4 linked regions of the Pelodiscus sinensis genome follow. The protein of the gene in region 1 purifies or fractionates together with the protein of each later gene. This does not show direct contact. Links are inferred from orthologs where the notes say so. Each region holds a gene or a part of one and is shown on either strand. Other genes may lie near its edges.

Region 1 (7,662 bases):
AGCCCAGGTTATTGTGCATCCTGAGGTCCAGGATGGCGACCGCTGCATTGGAAGCTGTATACTATGGAGAATCAGGATAGAAAGCAGAAAAGAGTCTGATACTGTCCCAGTGGCCAGGATTACTGAAGAGACGCAATTTTAAACATTTAGGTTTTACAAATTTAATTTGAGCCAAGTCCCTTCTTAGTCCTGTGCAACGCATGCGTTGGAAGCCCTAGCTAGGATGCCCACAGTACGCTGGATGTCAGGTGAGGGAAGCAGAAAGAGAGGTCCATTCTTTGATAGGACACAAGCTATGCCAGACTCCTACTCTGCTCACAGCTGGGGATGAAAGTGAGGAGAATGGTATTAAAACACTCCGAGAAGAATTAGAGCAAAAAGCGTAGACCAACCAGAACTCTTCCACTAGGGAAATAATGAGCAGTCAACTTGTTAAACACACACCCAGGCTGGTGCCATCCATCTCCCCCTCATCTGTTGCCTTTTTTAGCTGAAGCAGATTCCTCCTTGCTTGGGCTTTTCCTGATCCCATTCGCCTCTTTGCAGCCCTGAAAACACATGGAAAAAACGAACACAAGAATAAATGAACTGATAAACCCTTTTACACCAGAAAGCCTAACAACTCCCTCTGACTTGGACCTGCCAGATTGCAACTAGTGTCCTGAATTTTATCCTCTTTAGAGCAGAATTCACTGGTGTACTTGTACACTCACCTTTTTCGTGCATGGCTGGATAATTTTTTTCCACTGCTATCAGTAGCTAGAAACAAAGATGACACAAAATCAAGGAACTGGTACCAGAAGGACAAAGAACAGGATGAGGTCCCTATTTAGGAGCCCATCCAGGTGTGATTGTATATGTAGGTGGGGGGTAGAGAGAGAAGTGCAGAAAATGGTAAAGAAACAAACACACTTACTTGGGGGAAGAAATTTGGCTAATTCTACCTCTGCTCCCTTCTGTTTGCGGGCTTTGCGCCCCGGGCCACGTTTCTCCTTCCTCAGTACATCAAGTTTGCGCCCCATGTTCACCCTGTGGGGTAAGTAATGGAAGAAGAATGAGGAAAACAAACAGAACAGACCTTCCTTCCACACACATTGCAAACTAGGGGGTGATTCCTTTAGGCAGGGGTAGGGTTAGGCCTGGGAGCTAGATCTGGCCCCCAGCTTGCCTTGATTCAGCTCCTGAGGCTCAAAGGTCCCTGCCAGCACTGGGGAGCTGGCATCTGTGCTCCAGCCCTGTGGCTGCCCAGTGGTCTCCCCATGGGGCTGGAGTGCCAGCATCGGCTTCTCCTGTGTGGAGGGAGCGCTTAGCCTCACGGGTTGCAGTCAGACAAGCCAGGGCTGGATTTGAACCACAGACTCTATCTGATGGGCAGGGGAGGGGAAGGAGGAAGTGGCAGCGCAGCAAGGCACTGACTGAAGGCTTCTTCCCCACCAGGCTGATTGGCCGTAACTGTGGCCAATAGGAACAGCAGGGAGCGGGCGCATCCCTATGTGCATCCCCAGGGAGCTGCAGTAAGTAAGCGAACCCATCGCCAAGCCCTTCCAACCCTATTTCGCTCTTGCACCCTACCTCCTTCCCAGAACCCCACCCCATCTTCTGCCCAGACCTCATACTCCTCTCTGCTCCTGCACCTCACTTTCTCACCCAGCCCATTCTTACACCCTACCACCTTCCCAGTCGCATCAATCCCCAGTCCACTCCTACACCATCCCTCCTGTCTAAACAGCATATCCCAAGCCTGCTTCCCACACATTGAACCCATTTTTGGCCCCACCCCAGAGCCTGGGAAGTCCTCAAAATCTACTAGCCCCAGAATGTGGAGAGTGTCTTTCTGCTTTTCAGTTGGGGGCCATGTCAATGAGGTGGTTTTTTCCCCTTGTTTCTCACTTTTGTGCAGCCTCTGACAGATGTCTCTGTGGTTCAGTGGTCTCTAACCCAAAGGGTTCCCCACTACTGCTTTAGGGCAGCAATTCTTCAGCCTGCCTGCCTCTGTGTCTAACACAATGGTTGTCAACCAGGGCTATGTTTCTCCCTGGGGGATACTTCAATTCATCTAGGTATTTGCCTAGTTTTACAACAGGCTACATAAAATCACTAGTGAAGTCAGTATAAATTAAGAATCCACAGTTATTTATTTATACTTCTTTATGGACTGTACACAGACATACAAGTATCAATGTTACATTCCCATTTTAACGCTAGATGATACAATGACAAATAGGGATGTGAAGGACTAGTTGACTATCCAATAAGCAAATGCTTATTTTGGATAGTTGACTAGTCACGTCCCCCATCTCACCCCTTGCTGCTTCTATCAGATAGAGGCAGGAAGGGGCAGGGGAAGAAGAGGGTACTTCAAAGCAGCAGTACCACTTGTAGCCTGGGGCCAGACCCAGGGGTCCACACAGCGCTGCTGCTTTGAAACGCTGCATGTAGCCCACGGCCAGCTGGGATGTCCCGAATCTGCAGGTGGCATTTTCAAAGAGGGGAAGTTCCCAGTTGACCCCGTGTTCCCCATGGGGCTTTTGCCTCTGCGGGTAGCAACAGCCCCACACTTCAAAGGCCAAGGCGCCCTATCGACTAATCAAATGGTCGGTGCAAAAGGGACGGGCTATTCGCCTCGCCAGTTCTCACCATTTAACACCCTCCACACGCGGGCACCCTGGCTCGGACTTGGCCGGGAAGCCGCTTTTCAGTGCGGGGAGACTGGAGGGAGGCGGCAAACGAGCCCGCTGAAGGGGGCAGAGACCTACCCCCCCCCCCCCGGCGCGTTTCTGAGACCGCCGCTCGCCCCCCCGGGACCCCCTTAGCAGCGCCCCCCCGCAGCCCGCGCCTCGCGCCCTTCCTGCCGCCGCTGCCGCCTTCACCCGCCCGGCTCCAGGCCGCGGCCCGCCACCTACCTTCCGGCCCCACGTGCGCGCCGACAGCTCCTTCCGGGGACAGCTCCGCCTCGCAGTGCGCAGGCTCAGCCCCCCCCGCGCTGCGATTGGCCAGGCACCGCCCCTCCTGCCTCCTGCCTCCCGCTCTTCGCACCGCCCCGCGCGCTGCCCCTGGCGGCGGCCCCCCGCCCGTCCAGCTTGGGGCCGAGGCGAGCGCGAGCCGTTCCAGAGGGGCTCGGCCGGGCACTAGCGCGCGCCCCGGGCCCTGCAGCGGCGGGGAGGCGCTGTGCTTAGCCCCACGCAGCGCAGCAGCGGCGCTTACAGCTGCCCCAGGGCGATACAGACCAGGCCGGCGGGCAGGGCCCCCCCCCCCCGCTGTTCGATCATGGCACAAGCTCGCTTAAAGGCAGCCCTCAGCTTTCCCCAGGCTGCAGCGCTAAAGTCAATGACAGCGGCCTGTGGATACTCGCGCCTGCTCCTCCCCTTAAGTGTAATGGAGGAGTAGCAGGCGTGTCTGCCACACACACGGTTTGGCCGCGCAGCTGCTCTGAGTGCACACAAAGTAGCCCTTAGCTAGCTCACAGCACACAGCCCCTTCCGTTCCCACATTGGAAAGATAAGGAGTTAACCTAAAAATGTAGCCACGTTAGAAACAGAGCCAAGGTGATGCTGGCTAGGCCTATACTGACAACAGCATGTGACTTACACCCGGTTTCTTACACACTAGGATGAAAATAACCAGAGAGGGATGTAGGTGCAAGGCTTTCTGTGCCAATTTTCTTGCTGGCATTTTGGACAGTTCTACACTGCACTGAGACACCTGACTGAGGCTGCAGTGGTGTGGAAGCTAAGCTTTGGCACTCTCTTCCCTCCCTACCTCCTAGAGCAGCCAAACCCTCCACAGTGCAATGAAACAGGCTTAGCCTGAATCTGCTAACCTAGGAGAGCAACAGGTTTTTAACTGCAGTTTAGACATTACCAATGCTGAGCTGTATGAATAGCTTCTTACCACCAGCTGATAAGTCAAAAAAAAAAAAATCAGGCAGCTTATTGACCTGAACTAGTGCTCAGGTTGAACAGACCTCCACTAGAGAGGAGGTAGCAGCTCATCACCCATGCAAGGATTGGATAACTTCTCTTCAGTGCTCCACAAAGCCAAAGCTTATGCGAAAGGATAGGCCTTACCATAGTGCTACCATTTCTGCCTTTCCAGCAGACATGCTTACTTATCCTCTAGTATTTCCTCTCCCTGTTACTTGGCACAGCTAACTGCAGACAGCAGAATAAAATACAAGGAAACCTTTATTTTTCAGTTTTATCAAGATTTTTTCCGGTCTTTTCAGCTGTTTTATTAGTGGACAAGTCCAGTCAGTTTTTGTATTAAAAACGATCTTGATGGAGGTAGCTGTGTCTCTGTCCTGGCTTTTGCTTGGTCTCATCTGTACACTCATCTCAGTAAACAAACTCAAAATAAGATTAAAACAAAACATGGAACTCCAGGCTGAAGCAGCGAGCAGTGCAGCCAGGATTCTGTGTAACAGGACGTGGCTCTGTGGCCTCCAGTCACTATGTACAGAGTCCGTCATGTCCCCTCTTGCCCTGGCACGCTCCTAGCTGGTGCAGGCTGGCGCCACAGAGTTTCCTCTCCCACAGGGAGGCCTGTGCAGCAACGTCCGCCAAGGGGAACAGCACCCTCTCAGGAACATCAGGCAGAGGGATAATTTCAGCTTGGTTGAGAAGTCAACAGTACCAAGCCAAGGTCTCATTGCTGCTGGGCCACCTGGGGGGGGAGAGGGGGGGTGAAAAAACATGCATTAGGAGCCTTTACCAAAAGCACCCACCCAGCTGGTACATGCCCTCCTACTAATGAGCAGACTAGAGTGAAGCAAAGTTCTATCAACTAGGGCAGTGTTTCCCAATTGTATTTGGCCAAGGAACCCTTTTCAGAATTTCAAGGAACCCCTAGGTTAGTCAAGAAAAAAAAAAAAAAGGGGTGGCAAAAGGGACCCACCAAATGCATGCAAATCACATTTCCTTCCTCAAGACCTCCACCCCCGTTCCTTGAGGCCTCATCTGCTTTGTTCCCCTCCTCTCCATCACTTGCCATCCCCAGCCCTTACACACTCACTAGGTTGAGACAAGAGGTCTGGGGTGGGAATGAGGGATTTGGGTGTGGGAAGGGGTGAGAAGTACAAGCTCTGGGAGGGAATTTGGATGCAGGAGAAGGGGATGTTGGCTCGGAGAGGGGGCTCCAGGCTCAGGAGTGTTGGGTTCAGGTGGAAGGTTGGGGTGCTGAGTGAGCCATGGGCTTATGGATGTGGGGGTGCTGGGGTTTGGGCTGGATATGTGAGGGACTCAGGACACAGATTTGCCATGTGTGATGGTGCAGGAGTGTGGTGGCAGAAGACTAAGGATGTGGGGCTGCAGGAGTTTGGGGATGTAAGAGGCTCAGGCCCGGGGGTTCCAGTGTATGATAGGCTCAGATTTGGGGTCAGGTGGTGCAGGAGTGTTATGATGCTGCAGTGAGATGGGGATTTGGCCCCAATTGGGGGTTTGTTGGCCAGCCTTCATTTTTAAAAACCCAACAACCCTCCAAAGACCCCCAAGCCTCACTAATGTGGTCCCAAATGTGCTGGTGGGAGCAGGGGACAGAGTGAAAGTGGGTGCTGGGGCTGGGGAAAGGGTGCTGCTGGGTGGAAGGATGCTGGCTCAGGTGACGGGGTGCTGGGGCAGGCAGGTGGCGGGAGTCAGGGACATGGTTCTGCTGGGCACTAGGGTGACTGGCAGGGTGCTACTGGGTGCTAGCGTGGATGGCAGGGTGCTGGGGCCAGGGAGGTGCTGAGTCCTGGGGTGTGAGGCAGGGGGTTGGGGCCAGGGACAGGGTGGTGCTAGGGTGGATGGCAGGGCTGCCAAGGAGCAGGATAGGGATGGGGTGCAAGATCTGAGAGGGAGGTGGGGGGGCAGAAGGGGGCAAGGTCTGGGTGGGAGGTAGGGTGCAGAAGCAGGCTGGATGTAGGGTGTCTGACCAGGGGGAGGAAGCAGGAGCAGACTGGGGGTAGGGTGTCTGGCTATGAGGGAGGGTGCAAGGAGGGGACTTGGGAAGGAATTGGATCTCTCTGAACCGGCACCCTCTGGACCTGACTGGTCCCAGATGAGGGATTTTTGGACCAGGGAGGTCATTTCAGGGCTCCTGGTTCCCGCCCCTCCCTCCTCCCCACTAAGCTTCTTTGCACCTCTATCCCCTGCAACCCAACTGAGCTGCCTACCCCTGCTGGTTCCCTGCACCTCTCCCAAAACCATCCCCCACAATCCAAGGGAGCACAGCACCAGTTCCCTGCAGCCCCCACAGCCCAGCTGAGCTGCCCATCTGTTCCGTATGCCCTCCCCCATCCACCTCAACCCAGCTGAGCCCTGCACTGGTTCCCTGCATGCCTCCCCCCACAGGACTGCTGAGCCCTGTTTCCCTGCACCTCCCCCAAACCCTGCAAAACTGCTGAGCCAAGCACCAATTCCCTGCCCCTCCCTCCACTTGAGTCTAGCCCCAGTTCCCAGCACCTCCATCCTCCTGCAGCCAAACTGAGCTCTGAGCGTGCCACACACACACCCTGCAGCCCAGCCCAACTTCCTGGACCTCCCCACTCTGCAACCCAGCTGAGCTCAATTTCCCTGCACCTTCCCCCAAACCATGCAGACATGCTGAGCCAGCACTGATTCCCTGCCCCCCTCCCCTTGGCTGTCTACACACTGGTGCGATGTTGCGCCAAAGTGGCCACTCTTGCACAAAAACATGCTTCCTGTCTACACTGGCCATGTGTTCTTGCGCAAGTACGCTGACATTCTCATGTATGAAATCAGGGCTTCTGGCACAAGAACTATGATGCTCCCACTCAGGAATAAGACCTTTTGTGCAACTGTTCTTGCTCAAGAGGCCAGTGTAGACAGGCAACATGAATTTCTTGTGCAAGAAAGCCCTGTGGCTAAAATGGCCATCGGCACTTTCTCGGGCAAGAGAGCGTTCACATTGCCATAGATGCTCTTGTGCAAAAGCACAGCTTGCACATGGCAGTGTGGACGTGTTCTTGCACAAGAACTCTTGCGCAAGATGTTCTTGCACAAGAAACCGCCAGTGTAGACATAGCCTAAGTTTCCTCACATGAGCAAAATGAATTGTGTTGTGCACCAGTACTGAGTTCATGTGGCTTGTCTGGATGTGCCACTGTGGCACCCAAGTTATTAATAAATATTTTTAAACCTTTACAGTCTCTCTCTGCTGCCATGTCTCCTCTCCTTGTTCCATCAGCTCCCTTGGTGCCTGCTGCCTCCCAACTCCTCACCCTCCTCTGCTGTCCTGACTCCTGCCCTTCTCACTGCCCTCAGCCCTCCTGCGATCTACCCCCCTCCACCAGCCCTTCTCTCCTCCCTGTGCCCACTCCTCCAATAGCCCCACTCTGATCATGTGAGCTATCCCTCTTCATCCTCTCTTCTAACACCTCCCTCTACAAACCCGCCCTGCATCTCTCCTCTGGTGCTGGTCTCTCCCCTGCAGGTGTCTGCCCTTCTGCTTCACACCCAGAATCCTCTGGCACCTGCACCTTCCCTTAGCCCTGCACCTTCCTGGTGCCTCCCCCTTCCCTCACTGCCCCCACCTCCTTTTCCCTTATGCCCACCCCCTCACCATCCTCTGCCCCCATTCCCCTCATGCCCCTCTGTATCCTCTCACATGACTTGCTCCTTCCTCATGCCCACCCCTTCTTTCAAGCATTCTCCCAGCACCTCCCCA
Region 2 (7,290 bases), on another chromosome or scaffold:
TGGCTTCCCAGGAAACAATACGTTCACATGTCCATATTTCCCTAGCTCACCAGTGTCCCATATACTCACACTTTAGGAGTCTTTCACAGAATAGGTAGTTGTTCATGGTATCTGCTACAATCTTAGCGACTTCATCTGATTCAAACTCTACAAATCCATAGCCTTTGCTGTTTCCAGTCTGCGAATGACAATGGTATCAGAAATCTAGATTATGTTTACACATAATGTCTAAGAATTACACTAGATTGTTTTTTCAGGCTGCAAGGGTCATATTCTGTTCTCAGATTATAATATACAATTCACAGTAAACTAGGTAAGCATTACACATGTATGTCTTAGGGCAGACTTAGTCTGTGACACACAAAATGCACTGTCCCTCCTGTTATATTCATTCAGAATTCTACACTGGATTTAGACTACTCTGATAAAATTTCTCATTTATGTATGTTTAGTTCTGATGAAAGGGACTAGATTAAGAGTAGTAGAGTGGGGCCTCTGTTTATCTACAGAAGTAGGGGAAATTTCCTCACAGCACCTATTTGTCTCAATCCTTTTCTGGAATAAGCACCTTTTGCCATAGCATAAAATGGCCAGTTATTTTTCCCTCTTTTGATACTGTCAACAGGGATTCCACCCTAAGTGATATTTCTACACTACAAAATGGACAAAACTAATAACTTGTTACTTATAAGTCAATTATGGACTTCAAAAAACAGTTATCTTAACTACCAGATCTGGATTCAAACCAGTAACTGAAAGGTTTTAAAGACTACGACCAAAGTTTTATCAGCCTCTAGAACAAGACATTTATTATAAACATCCAAGTAAAAGTCTGCTTCTCAGATGGTAAAGTTTGTGAAACCAATTAATGGCTTTAGGATTTGGAATTGGGGTGAGGATCCTGAATTCCTGTAGAGCAAACAATTGTGTGTGTTCTGAGAGTCTATCATCATTTCCAGAATAGATGATTGGAACACAAGAGCAGGACTCTTTCAGGCTCTCTCTTACCCTGGTATAAATTGCAGCTGATCTTTAAAGACCAGGTTTTGGATGGACTGAAGGCAAAGAAGGCCAGAGAGAAGGTTGCAGCAATCAGTATTGGAGAAAGAGACACAGAAAAGTGTTTTAGCCTTTGAGATAGCAAATAATTGGATTTTAGAAATGTTGTGCAAGTTGCAGAACTTGGTAACACCCTAGCAATGTGGGGAGGAGTGAGATTAAGGACTGAGAGGGTGTCCCAATGATTAATCCAAGGGTCAGAGACTCAAAAATTATGACGACGGTGGTGTTATCCATACCAATAGAGAGACAAAAAGAATTTAGGAGAAAACATAGTTCAGTTTGACCACTATTTCCTACATCTCAATGTGGAATAACAGGCCCGTGAACTAAGTTTAGGGAAAGTGTAATAAAAAAATAAAACTGAGACCACCAGTATACCAATAACCTCTGGCCAATAGTTACTTCTAATTGGGAAAGTAAGTAAATAGGAGAATAGGGGAGGAGGCAAAAGTCAGCAATAACTGCAATTAGGAAGCCAGACAATTCCAATCAGTTAAGATTCTTACCTTTTTACTTCTTGAAATTCGAAGTCTGGTGACTGTTCCAAACTGGCTGAAGTACTCCTGGAGTTGTGGCTCAAAAAGGCCCCTAGGGATGTGCCCTAAATAAATTACACCAGGAGTCAGCTTCTCATGCTGTGAATATGAAAAGAATGGGTAACATTAAAAAAACAGGAATATTCACGCGCATTTACCACCTTAAACACAAAGAGCCAAAAGACCACCAATTTGGAATCAGTACAGTAACTTCTAGTTCAAGGGTGGACAAATTACAGCCTGTGGGCTGCATCTGATCCACCAAGCCACTGGAACCTGCCTGCAGTCCAGTAGGAGCCACGGGAAGGCTCCCTGCCTGCCCCACCTCTACATGCCACTCAAAGCAGCTGGTCGCAGGGGGCATGTGCTTCTGAGTGCCAGGAGCTGGGAGAGGGGTGGTGAAGGGGAACAGGCTTTGCATGCTGCTTCTGCCCACAGCACAATCTCACAGCTCCTATTGGCTATAAACCACCCAATGGGAAGTGCATAAGCCATGTCCACAGTGCAGGCAGCATGTTAAATATCCCCCCTCCCCATGGCTGTCAGAGAAGCACATGGCCCCCCATGACCAGCAACTTCGAGCGGCATATAAGGGAGTAGAAGGCAGGGAGCCTGCCTGAGGGACTTGCTGTGCTTAGGTAAGCACTTCCTGGCCAGAGCCTGCATGTGGCACCCCAACCCAATGCTCCCCTTTCCGCGCCCATGCCCCAGGTTATAACTCAAACCCCCTGCACACCCATTCCTACACCCATGAAAAAGTTAACTGGTTAAACAATATGTTTAACCAGTTAACCATGGAGTCCTGGGGTCCTGCAGGCAGGGAGGCTTGCTTCAGTGAGCCCTGCTGTGCTCAGGAAGGGGAGGACTTGCTCCAGGCAGGCCCGGCCCTACAGTTATCAGGGAAGCATGCTGGGAAGGCTAATGTTTCCCTGGTAACCAGTTAACCTTTTATATCCCTATGGCAGACGCTGCAACCCGACCCCCTTCCCCAGATGCCAATCCAAAGCCCCGCACTCCTGCCCCGTGTCACAGCCTTGTCCCGGACCCAGCACCCCCCGCTCCCCTCCCCTCCCGGTCGGAGTCCTCTCCAAGACCCCCTGGCGCGCGCCAAGCCCTTCCTCCGAGCTGGGAGCGGCCCCCCCCCGGGGCGCGAGTCTCTCAGTCCCACCACGAGCCCATCGGGGCCCGCGCGTGTTGGGGGCGCTCCGCGGCCGGCAGCCCCGCCCCCCCGCAGGCGGGACCCGGGCTCTCACCTTGGCGGCCCGGCCGGCGCGGACGCGCAGCACCTTGTCCTGGAACTCGCGCTGCTGCTGCGGGTCCAGAGAGAGGAGCGGGAGCGCGGCCGAGGACCCCGCTGCCGCCATGCCGCGCGCTCACCCTACCCCCACGCCGGGAGCGCGGTCCCGTCACTTCCGCTTCCGGGTCCCTGCCACGGGAAGTGTCTTCTCCCCCCAGCCAGCTTCCGCCCGCTCAGCGGCCAGGCCCAGACGTAGGGCCACAGCGACCTCTGGCGGACAGAGCTTGCCTGCTGGGACAGCTGCCACTGCCGCTCCCCCCCCCCCCCCCCGCCACAGGCCAGACAGCCGGGTCCCCCTCCCCGGGGGCCTGGTTTCGGTGCGGTCCGAGAGGAAGTGCGGGACCCGGGGCATGAATGGAGCTGGGCAGGAGCCAGGCAAGCCCCTGGGAGGGCTGTTCCCTGGAGAGCCAGGGTGCCAGGGAACTAGTGTCTGCAAAGGAGGCCCCAGAGCAGGACAAGAGAAGCCCCCAGAGACCAGCACCTCAAGCCAGTTTGGTGCCTGCTCCCAGGAGAATGCTGCCCCCTCAAATGAACAATCCTGGGCACGTTTTAAAATTGTGCAGATTTGGTCACAATAACATGCTATAATACTCCAGTTTACATTATTTTGTTCAAAATACCTACGAACAAGTATGTCACATTAGAGGCAGCAACAAACTTTCCTCCAAGAGCAGAGAGTGAAACTCTGGGTGACAACCCACTTCCAATTGGGGGGAGGCTGGAGGTGGCTGTGTTCTTCCCTCTCCTGGTCAAGGTACCTGCTTCTCCTCCCCCAGCTCTAGTGAACCTCCCTTCAGAGCCTTTATTCCCACGGCTCTACAGTCCTGCTAAGGGATGCAATGAAGCCCTCTATCCCCAGGCCTATCCCATTGTATGGGGAGATTTTGAAAGACCAGTAAAAGGTCAGAGACTGCTACCAATAGTATAATATCATACTTGTTGCTAACAGCAACCAAACTTGGGTTTTTTTTTGTTTGTTTGTTTTGCAGGGCTGTGCAGACTTAGCAAGATTTAAGCCAGGAGGACTAAACATCTTGCTCAGCATACCTTTGCCTGATTCTGTGTCTCTTCTTGATGAAGTGTCAGTTGAACATGATGGGGTCTATATTTTAGGAGACAAATAAGAAGCTTATCTATTTCCCTTCTGAGATGTGACTGTCAGCATCTCAGGGCATGCAAACCCTGCAGGAATACCTCTGGCTAATTAGTAATTTCAGGAAACCTCTTGCTTAGCTTTTGAAACTGCTTGCTTAACAAGTTTTTAAATTGATAGTAATTTGTTTACTCACAAAGTGAAATAAAGAGGGAGAGGTTTGGTCTCTTTGGGATCAATTCATGGACTCAGTTTAGAGCCCTCAAGGACAGCTTAAAGATGGACTAGTTGGATGGCTGCAACTGTACCACACCAAATTTCAATAATTACTGAGGCTATTTTGCTAACTTGTTGCAGATGTCTAAAATGCTTGAGATTAAATGAAGTATAGCTTTTACTTAGAGCATGTTTGTATAATACTGTTTGTGCCAGCCCTTTATTGGACTGGTGGCTGGGTCTCCACTGATTTATATTTTTTTACACCAACTCACACAAAGTAAAGTTACCAAGAGCTTTGAGAACTCTGTCTGGGGTAACACCATCCCTGGGTGGATGAGGATCAAGCTGGGTAGCCAGAGTGCAGAGCCTCCCTCCTCACCGGATGAAAGGTGGAGAGCTGGGCTCTAGAGTCCAGGGACCTGCAGTGGCAGCCAGCAGCTCTGCAGTATTCCCCCAGGAGTAAAATATGTCTTAAGATCTGGGTCATACCCATATAGACTTAAATGGGGACAGAAGGAGGCCCATAACCAAATTTCTTCAATAAAACTTTTCTTTGCCTGATGCCTACAAAACTACGGACAACTGTCAGATGCTGATGTGCTAATCATGCTGACCAGTTTCATCCAATTTACTTATAGTCCACCTTCTGTCTCATCCATGAGTTGCCTGGCTTGTTCTTAAGGGCCTTCGGCATAAACTGTGGTTTGTACCGCACCTAGTACATGTGGGTAGTCCATGCCTAGAACTCTTCAGCACTATAGTAACATAAATCATAATTTGTTCTGTAAAAAAATGATGTGGGTTGTGGCATATACGAGTAGGTCCTATGCTGCTCCCCGACTTCTGCGCACATTGGAGAGAGTACCCAGAAGTTGCTGGCCTCCCAACCCTGAGTAGGGGGCAAAGAAGAAAGGTCCTATGATCTTTCTGCCCCTCCCCAGTCTAGCAGTGGGAGGTGAGGAGAAATCCACTGAAACTAGACTTGTCAGCCATCCCCGTGGCTTCTGTCTGCCCCACCCTCACACGGGGGAGGGGGAGGATTTCAGAAACACGCCCCTCCAAACAGAGTCTCTGAGCAGCTGTGTGTGGCATGGGGGGGAGAGACCCCACGGGCTGTGTGTGTGTGTCTCTCTCTCCCAGGAGCTGATGGGACCTCTGCGGGGGGGGGGGGGCAGACCCTGGGGGGGGGCGATGCCAGCCCACAGGCAGGTGTGGGGGAGGGGTTACTCGTCCCAAGCAGCCGTTCTGGCCCCGCTTTCCCGGGCATCGCCTGGAGTAGGGACTGCGCCTGCGCACAGTCAAGCGCGCCCCCCCCTCCCCCCCGCGGCCTGCGGCCAAGGTTTGTTTCCCGCGGCGTGCGCGCCAGGAAGTGAATGAGGCAGCTCTGCGCCGGGAGTGTAGAAGGACCCCTGCGCGGCGGCCCAGGCAGCGAGTAGGGCACCCTTGCGCTCGCACCGTGGAAGCCCCAGCTCCGAAGCAGGGGTCCCGGCCCGGCATGGGGAAGCCCGGCGGTGGGTGGCAGCGGCAGCGGCAGCGCTGAGTGCGGCAGGTTTCCGAGGTGATGTCGCGGGAACAGGCACGAGGTGGGGGCTACCGTGCGCCGGGCAGGTGGAAGGGCCCCGGAGCCGCCTCAGCGTGCGCGCGCGCGGCCATAGAGCTTGCGCCGAGAGCGTTGGAAGGTCCCCGAGCGGCGGTTGGGAAGCGGCGTCGCGAGCGGCCCAGCCCCTGGGCGGCGGCGCCCCGCGTGCCCGGCCCGGCAGCGCACCATGTCGGTCAGTGAGATGTTCATCACCCTGCAGGGGGTCCTCACCGCCGACCAGGACATCCGAGAGGTCAGGGCCCGGCGCGGGCGGGGCGGGGCCGGTGGGGCTTGGGGGGCTCCGAGGCACGCGGGGGGCGGGGCGGGGCCGGTGGGGCTTGGGGGGCTCCGAGGCACGCGCGGGAGGGGGGGGCGGGGGGAGTCCCTTCCCCCCCCTCGTGTCCTGACGTGTTGTCGGCTTGCAGGAGATCAGGAAGGTGGTTCAGACCCTGGAGCAGACGGCGCGGGAGATCTTGACGCTGCTGCAGGGGGTGCACCAGGGAGCTGGATTTCAGGACAGTAAGTGGCTCGTGTCTGGGGGCGTGAACGGATCGGGCGCTGTCGTCACAGCCGCAAGGCGGCATCCGCCCCAAGTGCTCACCCCCTAAGGCTGCAAAGGGGCAGGGACGCTGTCAGACCCCCATACAAGGTTGTGTGAAGCACATCCCCTCTCCTTGACCATGCTCTCCACCTGGCCACTGTAACCTGAGGAATTTTTTTCCATAAGACTTTTCACGTCTTTTCTCTACTATATAAGAGAGTGAGTCTGTGTGTCAGTCTGTTTATTCAAGAACTGGTTGTGACTACTTTCTTCCACTATTTGATCTGAGGAAGTGGGTCTGGCCCACGAAAGCTCATCAGCTAATAAACCATCTTGTTAGTCTTTAAAGTGCTACATTGTCCTGCATTTTGCTTCAGCTACCCCAGACTAACACGGCTACATTTCTATCACTTTCCTCCTGCACAGTGAGAGCTAGGATCGCCAAATTCAGTTAATAGCTAACTTAAACCAGGGTAAGTTCTTTTTTTTTTTTTTTTTTCCCCCATTGTGTCAGGAAAATGGAATGTGCCCGAAATGGGATTGCGTCTCATAAAACTGTACAGAAAAAAGAAACACACCAGGCAGGTGAAATGGGCTGGCTGGGGGCATTCCACCTCTCTACTCCTTTTTTCCCCCAGCATCCTTAAAGGAGGGTAGGGGACTGAAGATCCCCACCCGGAACATTGCTGGCTGTTCCCTTTGTCAGGGAACAAGGAGAAAGTGCATAGTTTTCTGCATTCTTCACTCTCCATCAAAGGCAGCAACGTGGGGCACAAGTAGCCCATCTATGTGGGGAGCTGGTTTTAAACTGGTTCCCCTTGTGGACTGGCATCTGCCTGGCACCCTGTGTTGCTGCTTCTGATGGAGAGTGAGAGTGAGGAATGCAGCAACTGCACTTTCCCCTTGCTCCCTAACAAAGGGAATAACCAGCAATGTGTCTGTGTGAATCAGGTGAGTGGGGGG
Region 3 (7,992 bases), on another chromosome or scaffold:
CCTGGGTCTGCTGAGACAACCCCCCAGAGACGCCCTCTGTGCAGCAGGTCGTGCTCCTTTCCCTCCCCTGGGGTTTCCGACCCTCCACCTGCCACTGTGCCCCGAGCGGGTGAGCCATGCCAGGGCCCCGATCCCTCGGAGTGGGCTGACCCCGCGGACCCAGTGCTGCTGCCCCGGAGGCCAGGGATAATGGAACACAGGACTGTGGAGCTGGACTCTGCCTGCGCGGCACCAGGGGCGTGGGATGGGCAAGAGTCCTCGGCCATCGCAGGGGCCGGGCTGCCAGCAGAGCAAGGGACGTACCTTGGGAGTAGGCGTCGTGCACCCAGCTGGCCCCCACGTTGGGAGCCCCGTCATTTAGCACCACGTCCACCTTCCACGTCTGCAGCTCCTTGCGCAGGGCCTGGGCAAGGGCAGGGGGTGAGCCTGGGACGCCCTCTCTGCCTGCCAGCCCCCCTCACGTGCCCCGCAGCGGGGGGAGGGTGTGTAGCGAGCCTGCAGCCCCTCCCCCCAGCCAGGCCTCTCCACTGAGACCCAGGCTCCCTGCCTCTAGAATCCACAGCCCAGAACCGAGCAGTGAGACGCCCCCAAGTTTCGTACCCTCCGTGGAGTCGGGGGAGGTGGCCTGGAGGGTGGGTGGACATGATGCGCCCTTCCCCCAGGCAGGGCCGAGGGAGATGCACCAGAGCACCTGGCTGTCGGGGTTTAGCAGGCGTGGGGGGCAGGGCAGGAATTACCTGGCGACACTTCTCCGTGGTGATGTCCTCCTGCAGCGTCACCACGTTGGGGATGGGCTTAATGGGGACCAAATCCACCCCTAGGAGAGAAAGACTGAGCATCTGCTGGACCCCCTCCCCATGGGGGCATCCCCCCCCGAGGGACAGTGTCCAACCAACCAGCCCCACAGCAACTGTCCTGTCTCACAGGCCCAGCCCCGCGGAGTCCCGGCCTGCCCCCCCGCAGGCTTCCATCACTCACCAACGATGAGGCTGGAAACGGGCATGAACTTGGAGGCCACCTGCAGCCTGCGGAGAGGAGAAAGGCCTTAGCTCCCCACCTCACCCCCTCCCTGCCCCACAACGCCCTCCCTTGTCGCAGCCTCCAGGGGGCTGATGGGAGAAAGCCAGGCCACGCTGGGCTCCAGAGCCACTTCCTGGCACTCACCCTTGGAATCACCCTGCCCCAGGCTGGTCCGAGACGGGCTGAGCCGTGGGGATGGAGGCTCTGCCCTCATCTTTCCTGGCTGAGGCCTTGTATGGAGGAGTTAGACTGGGGCTGCTCCCTGGGGCTGCAGCCTACAGGCGGGCGATACACCAGCAGCAGCTCCAGGACTAGCACCCCTCTCACCAGCAGCTGCTGGCTTTCGAAGCCGCCCGCTACAGAGCAGTACCCAGGGCTTGGGGCGGGGCGGGGCAGCACAGGCCTCCTTGGAGTCCAGCACATACAGCAAGTTGGTCCCTGGCGGCAGCAGCCTGTTCGCCAGCCCTGGGAGGAGGCAGCTGTTGGACAGCGCCTGTCCCTGTCCCAAAGCCATGGGGATGCGGCCACCAGCTCACTTGCCCCAGAGGCAGTCGGCTAGCTGCCGACGGAGCCCAGGACGCAATCTGACCTCACTGGCCAGGGGCTCTGGCCCTCCCCAGGGCCCAGCTAGCCGGGTGCAAGCGAGCAGGCTGGAGCTGCATCAAGCCAGGCAGGGTGTTCCTGCCTCTGGCACCCAGAGGTAACTGCTGGGTTCTGATGATGCAGTCGTGGCTGGTCACTCACCAGCCGCCGGGGGCTGCGCACAAGTCCAGCAGCGCGCGGGATTTCGGCAGGAACTGGAACTTGCGATTGAGCTGAATCAGCTTGAAGGAGGATCGTGAGCGAAACCCTAAAGAGAGGAAGGGTCACAGCTTTACGGTGTCTGGGTGGGCCCAGCTGTCCCTGTCCATGCTCACCCACCTCTCTACCTTCAACTGGCGCCAGCCCCTGCCCTGGGGAAGCTGGCAGTGGCTCCGGCACCCGGCCAGAGCAATGGGGGGAGGAGGCGAGAGGGGCTGAGACCCCTGGGTGCCCATCACCCGCTCCTCAGCAGTTGCAGCAGGGCAGGCACGAGGAGACAGGCAGACTGAGCGGCGATGGGGAGAACAGCCCGGCCCTGCTGGGGGTCACGGCCCCGCAGAGGCAGGATGTGGGGGCTGGTGGGCACAGCCGCCTCCCGAACTCGCCGCCCGCCCCGCTCACCGGTCTCCTTGGCCAGGCGGTAGAACTTGTCCCGGCGGCTCTTCCCCACTTTGCCCTTCTTGCCCATGGCGGGGCCGGAGGAGCCCGGCGGCTCCGCTCGCTCCTCGGGGCCGGGCCCCGCGCTCCGCGCAGGCGGCGACCTCTGCACGGAAGGGAAGCGGCGGCGCCTCGAGTCACCCGGTCGGGGGGGCCAGGCCCAGGCCCCAACGGCCCCGCGGAACCAGCCGGGGGCCTCGGGCAGCCCCGCCCTACTCCAGTCCCCCCCACCGCCCCCTCTCGCCCCGCCCCCATCTACCCCCTCCCCCCCCTCTCGCCCCGCCCCCATCTACCCCCTCCCCCCCGCCGCCCCCTCTCGCCCCGCCCCCATCTACCCCCTCCCCCCCCGCCGCCCCCTCTCGCCCCGCCCCCATCTACCCCCTCCCCCCGCCGCCCTCTCGCCCCGCCCCCATCTACCCCCTCCCCCCCCGCCGCCCCCTCTCGCCCCGCCCCCATCTACCCCCTCCCCCCCGCCGCCCTCTCGCCCCGCCCCCATCTATCCCCGCCGCCCCCCCTCGTACCTCCGTCCTGCCCCCCCATGTACCCTCCCCCCACTCCCACCCTCGCCCCCCCAACCGCTCCTACCTGCCCCCCCGCGCCCGAAACGGGCCCCTGGCTCCCAGACCCGGCTGCTGGGTCCCTCGCACGCGCTCGAGCCAACGGCCCCCCACACTGCCCCGCGCTCACACTGACTTCCACTTCCGGTGCGACCGGACCGCGCCACCATCTTGTGAGTGGCGTCCAGGCGGGGCGGGGGAGCGTTCTCGCCCTACAGACCCTACCAAGATGGCGGCCACCTGACCCGCGGCCTTGTCACCACGCGTGCGCACTGCTGCCAGTGACGTGTTATTGGGACCGGCCATGCAGCCGCAGAAAGGAAATGACGACAGCGCGCTCCTACCGGGAAAGGGTAGCGGCGGCGGCCATCTTGGTTGTGGGCAGAGCGCGACGTTTGCCCATATGCGCCTGCGCAGTGCGCGGCCCCCAGATCCCGGTGCTGCTCCGATGCCGGCGGAGAAGATGGCGCTGGACGGGCCGGAGCAGGCGAGACCCGCGAGGGGGGGCGGCGCGGGGAGCGGGGGGGTCCCCTGGGCCGGGGTCTGCTGAGTCAGGCAGGGCCGCGGGGGGGCGGGGTGGGGGGTTGGGCGGGGGGAGGATAGAGGAGGGGGGAGGGCAGTGGGGGGCTGGGCGGGGGGAGGGTAGAGGAGGGGGGAGGGCAGTGGGGGGCTGGGCGGGGGGAGGGTAGAAGCGGGGGGAGGGCAGTGGGGGGCTGGGCGGGGGGAGGGTAGAGGAGGGGGGAGGGCAGTGGGGGGCTGGGCGGGGGGAGGGTAGAGGAGGGGGGAGGGCAGTGGGGGGCTGGGCGGGGGGAGGGTAGAAGCGGGGGGAGGGCAGTGGGGGGCTGGGCGGGGGGAGGGTAGAGGAGGGGGGAGGGCAGTGGGGGGCTGGGCGGGGGGAGGGTAGAGGAGGGGGGAGGGCAGTGGGGGGCTGGGCGGGGGGAGGGTAGAGGAGGGGGGAGGGCAGTGGGGGGCTGGGCGGGGGGAGGGTAGAAGCGGGGGGAGGGCAGTGGGGGGCTGGGCGGGGGGAGGGTAGAAGCGGGGGGAGGGCAGTGGGGGGCTGGGCGGGGGGAGGGTAGAGGAGGGGGGAGGGCAGTGGGGGGCTGGGCGGGGGGAGGGTAGAGGAGGGGGGAGGGCAGTGGGGGGCTGGGCGGGGGGAGGGTAGAGGAGGGGGGAGGGCAGTGGGGGGCTGGGCAGGGGGAGGGTAGAGGAGGGGGGAGGGCAGTGGGGGGCTGGGCGGGGGGAGGGTAGAGGCGGGGGGAGGGCAGTGGGGGGCTGGGCGGGGGGAGGGTAGAGGAGGGGGGAGGGCAGTGGGGGGCTGGGCGGGGGGAGGGTAGAGGCGGGGGGAGGGCAGTGGGGGGCTGGGCGGGGGGAGGGTAGAGGAGGGGGGAGGGCAGTGGGGGGCTGGGTGGGAGGTCCGGGCTGGGGGAGGGACAGAGGGCTCCGTTGCTGCAGATGCTGCTGCAGAGCCAAAGGGCTCCCCCCCCCCCCCCCGCAATGGGCCCCGCCCCCTTGGGGGGCTGCCCTGGATGGCAGTTCTGCTCCCCAGGCACGGGGCTGCCTCTCCCTCCTTTGGCCCCGGGGCGGGGGCCCCACCCTGACCCAGGCTCCCCAGAGTCTCCTGCCTGGGCCTTTCCCAGCGCTGCGCCGGCCTCAGGCTCTCGCGCCCGGCCCCTTGCCTGCGAGCCGAGCCGCTGGGCCCCCGGAGACTGGGGGGTCCGCAGAAGCGAACGGGCCCCGTGGCGCTGGCTCTCCTTGGAGCCTGGCGTCTCTCTGGCAGCTCCAGGCCCGGTTTCTGCAGAAGGAGCCGGTGGAGCCAAGGGCCTGTCCTGTGAGCCAGCACCGCCCCGGGCTCCGGCCGAGGCTCTCTGGGCAGCCTGGGGCTGCCTTCGCCTCAGATCAAGCCTGTGCAGACCCTGAGCTCCAGCCGGGACGTGGGGGCTCTGGGTTCCCGCTGCCAGCCAGCACAGACCTGGAACAGCGCCCTCCTCGGACTGTCGCGGCCCAGCCCAGCCTCTCCTGGGGCAGGGCCTGACCTGTGCTGTCTCTGCAGATGGAGATGGACGAAGGCAAAGGGGGGACAGGCCTCCGCCAGTACTATCTGTCCAAGATAGAGGAGCTGCAGGTGAGATGCCAGCCCCACGCGGCACATATGGGGCTTCTGGGCCACAGGGCTGGGGCCTGGGCCGGGCGCCATTTGTGCTAAGTGGCGGGTGGAGGCTGCCGGGCTGAGGCTCTGCCCTTTGGTTTGCGGCGGGGGGCCATCCCAGACGGCTTCCACGGGAGCCAGCTGCCTTCTCGGAGCATTGCCCGTCGGGGGCTGGAGTCTCGGGGCTCCCGGCAGGAGGGGCAGGCTGGGATCCAGGGATTGGCAGGCAGATGCAGGGCCCTCCTAGGGCGGCGTCTCCAGAGCCAGCAGATCCACTCCTCAGAGCAGAGCAGAGTCTGGTAACAGGCGGGCGAGGGGGTCGTGGCAGTGGTTTGCCGTGGCAGAGGCCTCTTGTCCAGGCGTCAGGGTTGCGGGTGGTACCCCAGCGCCTGCGGCAGGGACAAGTGACCCTTGGAAGGGGGGAGGGGAAGCTGTTCGCTGCCCCTTCTGGTGCTGGGCTGCTTTCCCCAGCGCTTCCTGCTGGAGGCGCTAGGGAGCAGCCTGGGCGCAATGGGCAGGCGGCGGAGCTGTGGCCTGGCTTTCCCAGGGAGGAGCCCACGCAGTCACTGGCGATTAGCCCGTGCTCGGCAGCCAGCCGCCCCTGAGCTGGGGGCTCAACCTTTCTCCTCTCCCCAAAGCTCATTGTGAACGAGAAGAGCCAGAACCTCCGGCGCTTGCAAGCGCAAAGGAACGAGCTGAACGCCAAAGGTAGGGCTCGTGCTGCCCTCCCCGCCTGCTGGGGGCCCCGCGCTCGGCTCCCCCTCCCCCCAGTCCTTCCCTCCTGGTTGCTGGGCGCCTGCCTCGGCCGTGGGCCCCGTGAGTGGCTCCCCCCAGTCTTCCCCTCTCAGCGGCTGGACGGCTGCCTCCCCCTCCCCCAGTCCTTCCCTCCTGGCTGCTGGGCGCCTGCCTCGGCCGTGGGCCCCGTGAGTGGCTCCCCCCAGTCCTCCCCTCTCAGCGGCTGGACGGCTGCCTCCCCCTCCCCCAGTCCTTCCCTCCTGGCTGTTCACCTTTCCTGCACTTGGCTCCCCTGAACTGGTGCGCTGAAAACGAGGAAGCCAAGTCCCCTCCCTAGGAGCCCGGCTGGGTGGGAAGGGAGCTGGTGAGGGGTGGCCAGCGGGAGGGTGAATTGTTCAAACCCCCACTGGGGGATTTCTTGAGTTCCTGCCGGTTTTAGCCTCTTCACTTGTACCCGGGGGAAGCCGGGTCCCCTTCCCCACACCAGGGCCTGGCAGGGAAGGAAGCCGGCGCTGACTCTGGGGCCCAGCCACTGTCCGCGTGGGTCCTGGTCGGAGCCCCACAAGGGCTGCTGTGGCTTTGCCCCGCGTGGCCTGGCCGGGCCATGGCTGACTCCTCCTTGTGCTGCAGTGCGCCTGCTGCGGGAGGAGCTGCAGCTGCTGCAGGAGCAGGGCTCCTACGTGGGCGAGGTGGTGAGGGCCATGGACAAGAAGAAGGTGCTTGTCAAGGTACGGTGCTGGGGCCTGCTGCTCGGGGCGGGGCCAAGGCCTGGCCTTGTGGGGCAGGTGGCCAGGCGCAGGCCTTCAGGGCAGTGCTGCCTTGCCTGGCTGCTCTGGGGTCACTCCCCTGTAGATCTGTGGGGCAGCTCGGAGGCGCCAGCGCCGGGGGAAGGGCTGTGGTGCCTGGTGCAGGCTCCCTCCCTGGGCAGGAGAGGGGTGAAGCCAAGGGCAAGGTGACTGGTCTTGTCCTGCTCAGCCGAGGGCTCCCCTCCCGGGGCGGGTGTTAGGAAAAGCTTGAGTAGGAGCAGCCCTTCTCCAAGCCCTCGGGGCCTCGCTGAGCTCACCCCTTCCCCCAACACCTGGGGAGCCCCGCACAGGCTGTGCCTTGCTGTCCTGGAGACCCTCAGTCCCTGGGCCTGGGAACCTCCAGGGGGCTGCAGAGGCCCGTTCTGGGGAACTGCCCCAGGCCCTAGCCCTGGCTGCAGAGAGCCCCACCAGCTACTGAGCAACCCCCAGGCCTTGGCTCTCCTGCGCGGCCTCGGCGGTGGGCAGGGGCTGGGCAGGGGGCGGGCGCTGCTCCGGCCCCACCCCACAGCTCTCTGCTCTCTGTTCCAGGTTCACCCGGAAGGGAAGTTTGTGGTGGATGTTGATAAAAACATTGACATCAATGACGTGAGTACCAGGCCCCTCGGTGAACCCGGGGCTGGGCCGGCTTGGCAGCAGCTGCCTCCCCTCGTGCCCGTCCTCACGGGCCGGCCGGGGACAGCAGAGGGCGAGGCTCCTTCGGAACAGCTGCTGCTGGCGCCGCGCCAGGCTGGGGCCCAGCAGGCGGCTCCCCCCCGCCGGTGCTGAGGCGAGTGGGGCCGTGCGGCAAGTTCCTGCCCCTCGTCTCCACAGGTGACCCCCAACTGCCGCGTGGCGCTGAGGAACGACAGCTACACCCTGCACAAAATCCTGCCCAACAAAGTGGACCCGCTGGTGTCCCTGATGATGGTCGAGAAGGTCCCGGACTCCACCTACGAGATGATTGGCGGCCTGGACAAGCAGATCAAGGAGATCAAGGAAGTGATCGAGCTGCCCGTCAAGCACCCGGAGCTCTTTGAGGCCCTGGGGATAGCCCAGCCCAAGGCAAGCCCCTCCAGGCCAGGGAGGCACCCACCCGTGTCCTGCCAGAGACTCCCCCCCAGCTCCCAGGAAGTGGGGGAGGGACCAGCTGGCGCTGCCAGCCTGGAGCACGGCCAGTCACTCTCCCCTGCCACGTGCTCCAGTCTCTGGCTGTGCGGGGGAGGGAGGAGTCGTCACTCCCGTCCCGGGCGCTGGGATCCCAGTGCCTGCTCTAGCCCCGTCCTGCAGTGCCGGCTGGGGGAGGGACTCAGTCATCCCAGAGGCCTCAGCTGTGCCAAGACCCTGGCCCAGTGCAGCTCGCCCCCTGCTGGCAGCAAGGCCAGGACCGAAAGCGGGCGCCTGGGCATCCTGCTGTCCCAGCCCGTCCTGGGGGTGGCGGCTCCTTGTCCATGCTGGGGTGGGGAAGGGCGAATCTCAGGGAATGCAGCAGCCTCACCCTCCCTGTCCCACC
Region 4 (7,343 bases), about 110 Mb from region 1:
TTGTGTTAATACACAAATCCTAGCCTCTCTCCCTCTCTTCCCTTAAGGGTACAACTGACCAGCATCCTCTATTATTGCTCCTGGCCTGGAAAACATGAGACCAAATCAGAGACTATAATTTAGATCTTCCACCAGGGAACTCAAAGTACCAGAGAAGTCCCATATTCATAAATGAAAATGGAAACAAAACACAACGCAAGAATAAATGTGTGCCCAAACATTAAGTTTGGATATAAACATTCTTTATATACCATATATGCTGACTGTGCACAACAGTTAAGGATAATTTCATGTACGCTTTGAATGCTATTTCTTTTATGGTTTAATGTCATTATTTGACAATACAGATTTCTTTCACCAACAGCTTTTAATACTGTAATTTTTGAAGGTCATGGAAGGATCTGAAAGTTAATAGGATACTTAATATTGCTTCCTGCTATATAGTGAATGTATTTTTATATTTGAGGGAAAGAAGTAGTTATTTCACAGAGAGAATGAAAAATCATCTCTGACAGACTTTGTGAAAGTCTTTATTTGCTGATTTCTGACCCTATAAATTATGTAACTAATGTATGGCAACTCAAATCACTAAAATAGTATTCTCACAATGCACAAAAATCTCTATGAATATTGTAAAAAAGTTTATAGTGCATACACAATATCCAGTTTTTTATCTCTTGATCTTTTTAGATTTACCTTTTCCCTTCAAAATACTGAAAACCATGAGGCAACTTTATGGACTATGTACTTGCAATTTATTTTTTTAATCAAGGGCATTGTTAATGGTTCGTAAGCATAAAATGCATCTTTAAAATCCTTGCCTCCTTTTCTAATGATGTATAGCAATACTTTAGGAAGACAGGTCCATGTCCACTAGCCAACTGTTTCTTCCCAGAGATCGTATTGTATTTTATCACATTTTGTTCAACAATAGCTTCCGATTAGTCACTAGTTTTGCCATAGCATTTGAGCTGCTAAAATATAACTGGATTCACTACTTCATCAGGGTACCCTTCACAGAAGCCTTAAAAAAAAAAATCACAGTTAACACCTGTTTCCTGTACTACTTTCACCCCATCATCCTCCTCTCTCCTATCATTACCACCATTTATTTGGCCTAACATTTATAGTCTATGTAATTTTGAGATCCATGAGAATGGATAAACAAAACATCTTATACATCCTTAAGCCTTTTTCATGACTTTCAATTTATGTGTGCAAAAACAACCCAAAGCTTTTCTTACATTTCTCCATTTTGGAAAGGTGACTTAACAACCCACTCCCCCCACCATTTTCTGTATCTCTCTCATTGCTCTGATATTTTGTCATGCTATAGCTAGTGAAAAGCAATATCATGGTTTAGAATCATGTCTTCCCTCATTATACTTATAAATCCAATTAAACTGCTTGTATTGTTTTTAAAGCCATGCACTCCTCACAGCATTCTCTCATTTTAGCCTATCTTCTTTTAACTTGAATTTCCAGTGCACTGCCATTATTTTTATTATGTTCAAACATCATTCATCTATATTTTAGGTAATATCATTTCAGCTAAAAAAAGGCCTGTTTAGGTGTATTATATTACTAATTATAATTCTAGTAACTCATTTCCAAAGTATATAATATTCAGCTGTTCTGCTACACACATTAAATGATTAAATTCAAATAATGTTTTAATTTGAATTGATCTTGCGTTGTCCGCGGATTAAATAATTTTCTGAACACAAGTTTCTATTAAAATAAAATCTCAAGAAAAAGAGAAGTGAACAGGTTTGATTATTAAAAGCACCGAAATAGTCATTAAGAGAACTATTTGCATATAAAAAATCTGAATGTCAAAAATAAAAAATAAGGTTTTAAAATATCTATTTAAAATCAAACAACTATTTATAATAATTTGATTGACATATGAAATAATTGTTCTAAAAACACTTCTGAGTCATTTTGTCCTTACCTGCAGGCATGAACCATTATTACTGCATGCAGTGACTGTTCTATTTCCTAGCACAGACTTGAAGAAGCATCACATCTATTTTACAGAATGTGACTAATTTGTGTGTTTGCAATTCCTAAGCTATTTGGAAAGGACACTCCCTTTCAACATAACAGAATATTTAATGCTTAGCACACTGATACTTTCTACTAATCTAAATCTAACAGCAACCTTGGTAACAGTAAAATTATTTCCTCTAATACAAAACAAAAAATCTAATTTTTGAAACTGAATTTAGAAGTCAAGATGCTTTTGGGGTGAAAACAAAAAAATAGAACACAGCCTGCAACAACAATATACATAAACCAGTAGTCTGCTGTATTACGATTTGCATGCTGCTGTTTAGACTTCAGTAAAAACAAAAATAAATAACCCTTTGCAAAGACACAAACCTTAGCCAAAAACAGAGTCATTCAATACATTACAATAACCAGCATGCAATACATCAACAATATTAGCAAACAGATAAGAAAAAATGCCCTATGCTGCTGCTTTACAATGCCACACCATTAATTCTTCGAGCAAGAGATGTAGCTGTACCTTTCTGAAGAGGACGACTTCTCAGAGTTAACTGACATCAGCAGCTCAATCTTCTGCTTGATTTCTGGAAAAATCAAAAAATATTCACAACCAAGATTGCCTGCCCTTGTTTTCCAAAGTCTTATTATCAAATAATTTTTTTTCCTAATCCCTTTTGTTCCGAATGAAGCCACAAGATTACAGTACTTCTGTAAGGACTGATTCAACCGTGCTCTAAAGGGAAAAGCTCCAGAGGCATCAGGCCTTGCTAAACTATGCACATGACTGTTTATGAAAGCAGGAAGTACCATTTCTTTTAAGCAGAGGGGTGGTTCCTCTTTTGAGGTTGAGCTAACATATTTACTAGATGATTCTTATCATAACAATTTACAAACCACTGCACAAATTCCAGCTTCTAAGAAAAATCAAACAAATAGTTTGGGGAGTAAATTATTTGCAGCTTTGCTACCTAAATGTATTTACTACCCTTCAGAACCTTCATTTTAAAAAGCCCTGAAAAATATGGCTCTTTGAATTATTTTTGTCACAAAGAATGAAGTGTTAAATCACTACTTTAGTATATGGATCAGAAATCACAGACAGGCTATACAAATGTCTGAATTTCTTAAACTGATATTACCAGTACTCTTTCAAATATACTTTGAATGCCAACATTTAAATTTGCCTTCAATTTTTTATTCCTAATACCTTAATTGCCCCTTCTAATGCTCACAACCAATGATCAGCAAAACCCATTAACAGAGCAGGGCTGATACATAATACTTGTCCTAAGAGAAATGGCCTAACAATGACATCTAGAACAGAAATATTGAGAGCCAGATCAATTTTACTGCTAGACTACTGTTACAGGAGGAGAAGGGAGGAGAGAAAGAAATAGCCTCATACCAACTGCGACTTCTATATCATGAGATCTCAAAACCAAATACACATGGATGGTTTTAAAAAATAAATTAAGATTATCATGTAGCCAGAAGCTCTGTTACTTAAATGTTTCAGATGAAAACCAAAGGATACTAACATAATAAAGTTGACTGATTATAATTTTAAAATCATATTATAGCAGAGCTGGATGCACTAAATCTATTTAATGTTGTCTGACACTTCCCATTCTAAGACCCTATTTTCAATTGCTTACAACATTACTAAACTTTAAGTATTCAGGCTCAAATTTCCCATTCCGGAGATATGCCTCAGGGTGCTGCATTTATTTTTCAGCTGAAAAAAAGTTCAGCCATTAACTTTAAGGAAAAGTATGTTTTTCCCATGTTAAAAAGAAATCTTACAACCATCTCATTGAGAAGCTCTAGCATTTCCAGGCTTTTGGAGCAAGGTCTTGAAATGTAAGAGGCAGTAAGGTGGGGGTTGGAGTCACTCTGCTGATGGAGACGTGTCATTTTACTTTCCCCAAATTGCACAAATTTGGCGAATTTATAAACCTCCAAAAAGGTTTAGTTTACACATGCGCAACAGAAAACTATTAGAATTTGGTAGCTAAATTTTCCAGAGTCCATGTCTACATTGAGCACACTCATCGTGGGGTTTCAGGGATTGAGCACAATTTTCCCAACTACAGGTTGAACCTCCCAACTCCAGGATTCTTTGATCCGGCAACATCCATGGTCCAACAGGGCCTGGCTGAAGTGGACCTGGTGGAGGCAGGTAGCCAGAATCCCCAGCAGCAGAGGGGCAGGGCAGCTGGGTGGCCTGGCTGGGGAACCGCCTCCAAAAGCAGGGCCAGCAGTGACCAGGTGGCCCCAGCCGGAAACCTCAGGGAACACCCCGCATCAGCAGAGCTATCAGAAGCCAGGCAGACCCCGGGGTAGCAGGCAGGCAGCGTGGGAGGGGGAGGAAGTCGTGCATAACCAGTGTTCAGGGAGCCAGCAGCAGGGCATGGATTCCCAAGGACAGGAGCCCAGGAGTGGGGCAGCCAACAGGGGAGCAGGTCCTGAGGGTGACAGACCAGGGAGGTCCGACCTGTATTACCTTTCCCAGCTGCTAAGGTAGAGATGATAAGAAATGAAATGCACCCGCAATGTACCACTGATGTCTCCAGGCAGTAAGAAGGAGGAAACAACCTGAGCAAATGCAAAGTGGAAAGCAGCATAGGAGAAGGAGCTGCAGGCAACAGAGGGGAGAGAAGAATTGGGAGGAGCAACAGTCACATGCAGCAAAAGAAGGGGAAGAGCTGAGGCATAAAGTTGGATAGAAGTAATGAAGGGCAGTAGCAGGGTGAAGGGGGCAAAGAGCGGGAAGGAAAGCAGAACCTGCAATACACAGGACCAAAGAAGCACAAAAACTAGAACCTGTGTAGGAGATACAGAGAAGCACAGATGGAGGAGGGCAGAAGACAAGGTGTGAGAGGGTGGAGAGGAGCCAATAGGGACAGGGACAGGAGCTGGGGTAGGAGGGACAAAGTCAGCCTGAGGATAAGGAGGTAGAAAGCAGGGGCAGAAGGATCTAGTACTATTAGACTACCATTCCCTACAGAACCTGGAATTGAACCCAAAAGTCCTATGTCTCTACATCCTTCTGCTATCATCAAACAAAAGCAAAATCCACTGGCAAAGAATGTCTCTCAATCCCCTCTAGTGGCTGTTCCACATGGAGGACAACAGCTGACTACTTCTATCACTCTTAGCTCAAGTAGTAGAGATCGTGTTCGTCTAAGCTGTGTTGATGCACAGAGGCCTAATAAGCCTCTTTCTGGCTTAATAATAACCTTTCTGGGCTGGTGGCAGTGAGTATCCACAGTTTCCTTCCCACACACTTTCCACCCCCTCCTCCAAAAGTGCCCCATCCCTGCTCCTCCTGCATGCCACAGAATAACCTACCTGAGACAACACATACGATTCTAGTATACTTAGATGTAGCTGGTCAAAGCCATCAAAATCGCTCCACCTGGAATTTACTTTGGGCTTGTCTACATTTGATGTGCTGCAGCTGCATCGCTGTAGCACTCCAGTATAGACATTACTCATGCCAAAGAAAGGAGTTCTCCCATCAGTGTAAGGTGGCTTCCTAAGGCTATAGCTAGGTGGCTGGAAAAAATCTTCCATCTACCTAACACTATAACAGAATCTCAGAATTACAAACACCTCAGGAGTGCAAGTTTTTTGTAACTCTAAAATGTTCGTAACTCTGAACAAAACATTATAGTAGTTCTTTCAAAAGTTTACCACTGAACATTGACTCAATACAACTTTGAAACTTTACTATGCAGAAGAAAAATCCTGCTTTTGAACAATGTAGTTTAAATAAATCGAGCACAGAAAGAGTTTTTTCCCTGTCAAATATTTTTTTAACTCCCTCCCCCCTTTTTTTTAGTAGTTTATGCTTAACACAGTACTGTACTATACAGCATTTGCTTTTTGAGGGTGGGCAGAGGGTCATCACTGCAGCTGCCAATTGCATACATGTTGAACCTCTCCAAATCGGGAATCTGTCCAGCATCATCATACATGATCCGGTAGGACCACGGATGTTTCTGGACCAGGGAGCCCTGGCAGCTGGGAGTCCAGGGGCAAGGGGCCAGTGGCAGTGAGGGGTCTGGGCTGGTGGCAGTGAGGCCAGTACAGTAAAACTCCAATGGTCCGGCATCTGATGGTCCGGCACCATCAGGAACCCGGAAGTGCTCCGGGCAGCCGGACCATTGGAGCTGCTCTGCCCCCAGCTTCCCCGATTCAGCCGGTGCTAAAACTGATCAGCACTGAATCCGGGAAGCAGGGGACAGAACAGCTGGAGTGCTGCCGGGTAGGTCCAGTAGCGCTGCCCCTCGGGGCTGCGGGACCAACCCAGCAGCACCCCAGCTGTCCCGGATTCAGCCGCTGCTGAAATTGACCAGCGGCTGACTCCAGGAAGCCCGAGACAGAGCTGCTCTGCCCCAGCTTACTGGAATCAGCCGCTGGTCAGTTTCAGCAGCAGCTGACTTGGGGACACCTGGGGCAGAGCAACTGGGGTGCTGCTGGGTTGGTCCAGTAGCGCCGCTCCTCGGTGCTGTGGGACCAACCCAGCAGCCTTCCAGCTGCTCTGCCCCAGGCGTCCTGATTCAGCCGCTGCTGAAACTGACCAGGGCTGACTCCAGAAAGCCCGGGGCAGAGCAGCTCTGCCTCTGGCTTTCTGGAGTCAGCCGCTGATCAGTATCAGCAGCGGCTGACTTGGGGACACCTGGGGCAGAGCAGCTGGGGTGCTGCTGGGTTGGTCCAGTAGCGCCGAGAAGCAGCGCTGCGGGACCAAGCCGTCAGCACCACAGCTGCTCTGCCCCAGGCGACCCCAAGAGCAGCTGGGGTGCTGACGGGTTGGTCTCACTGCGCCAAGGGTCGGCGCTACCTGACCAACCCAGCAGCACCCCAGCTGCTCTGCTGCAGGCGCCCCAGATTCAGCCGCTGCTGAAACTGACCAGCAGCAGCTGAATCGGGGACTCCTGGGGCAGAGCCGGACTATCAGAAGGGAGGGCTATGAGGGGGTCTGAGGTAGCATCCGCCCACCCCACCCCAGACCCCTCATAGCCCCCCCTTCTGATAGTCCGGCATATCTGATAATCTGGCACCCCCTAGGTCCTAAAGGTGCCGGATTATCGGAAGTTTACTGTAGTTAGGAGCCCTGCCAAGCCAGTGGCAGGGAGCTGGCAGCTGTGAGGCCAGCCAGAACCCAGCAGCAGAGGGACTGGTGGCAAGGAGCCCTGCCGGGACAGGGAGCCCTGCTGAGCCAGTATCAGTGGGACTAGAAGTTGTGCCGGGGTCAGGGGCCAGGTAGGCAGGTTGCAAGGGGGCAATCATTGACCTCCCCTAGTCTGGCAAACTTCCTCGTTCGG

What was found.
Region 2: the proteins of NOP2 (region 1) and NIFK fractionate together in Homo sapiens (co-fractionation; 3 studies listed by BioGRID, with this or other methods). This does not show direct contact. The link is inferred for Pelodiscus sinensis from reciprocal best matches to the Homo sapiens genes NOP2 and NIFK.
Region 3: the proteins of NOP2 (region 1) and FTSJ3 fractionate together in Homo sapiens (co-fractionation; 3 studies listed by BioGRID and IntAct, with this or other methods). This does not show direct contact. The link is inferred for Pelodiscus sinensis from reciprocal best matches to the Homo sapiens genes NOP2 and FTSJ3.
Region 4: the proteins of NOP2 (region 1) and SRPK2 purify together in Homo sapiens (affinity purification with mass spectrometry; 3 studies listed by BioGRID and IntAct, with this or other methods). This does not show direct contact. The link is inferred for Pelodiscus sinensis from reciprocal best matches to the Homo sapiens genes NOP2 and SRPK2.

What each region holds. Positions count from the first base shown.
Region 1 is NC_134711.1:138,758,506-138,766,167, reverse strand, and holds the start of NOP2 (28S rRNA (cytosine(4447)-C(5))-methyltransferase), read right to left. Parts: upstream 3,015-7,662; 5' UTR 2,904-3,014; intron 2,792-2,903; exon of another isoform or gene 2,638-2,791; intron 1,030-2,637; 5' UTR 1,023-1,029; coding exon 917-1,022; intron 760-916; coding exon 714-759; intron 549-713; coding exon 445-548; intron 1-444. Other genes in the region: CHD4 (chromodomain-helicase-DNA-binding protein 4), read right to left, coding at 4,645-4,662. UniProt on the Homo sapiens protein: S-adenosyl-L-methionine-dependent methyltransferase that specifically methylates the C(5) position of cytosine 4447 in 28S rRNA. Required for efficient rRNA processing and 60S ribosomal subunit biogenesis.
Region 2 is NC_134717.1:8,136,301-8,143,590, forward strand, and holds the start of NIFK (MKI67 FHA domain-interacting nucleolar phosphoprotein), read right to left. Parts: upstream 3,015-7,290; 5' UTR 2,963-3,014; coding exon 2,852-2,962; intron 1,698-2,851; coding exon 1,569-1,697; intron 179-1,568; coding exon 70-178; intron 1-69. Other genes in the region: TSN (translin), read left to right, coding at 5,974-6,039, 6,212-6,305.
Region 3 is NW_027466048.1:919,296-927,287, reverse strand, and holds the start of FTSJ3 (pre-rRNA 2'-O-ribose RNA methyltransferase FTSJ3), read right to left. Parts: upstream 3,004-7,992; 5' UTR 2,845-3,003; intron 2,366-2,844; 5' UTR 2,291-2,365; coding exon 2,224-2,290; intron 1,871-2,223; coding exon 1,765-1,870; intron 1,026-1,764; coding exon 979-1,025; intron 818-978; coding exon 738-817; intron 404-737; coding exon 304-403; intron 1-303. Other genes in the region: PSMC5 (26S proteasome regulatory subunit 8), read left to right, coding at 3,220-3,303, 4,867-4,938, 5,601-5,670, 6,328-6,425, 7,032-7,088, 7,314-7,544.
Region 4 is NC_134711.1:25,325,906-25,333,248, forward strand, and holds the start of SRPK2 (SRSF protein kinase 2), read right to left. Parts: upstream 3,012-7,343; 5' UTR 2,824-3,011; coding exon 2,534-2,823; intron 1-2,533. UniProt on the Homo sapiens protein: Serine/arginine-rich protein-specific kinase which specifically phosphorylates its substrates at serine residues located in regions rich in arginine/serine dipeptides, known as RS domains and is involved in the phosphorylation of SR splicing factors and the regulation of splicing.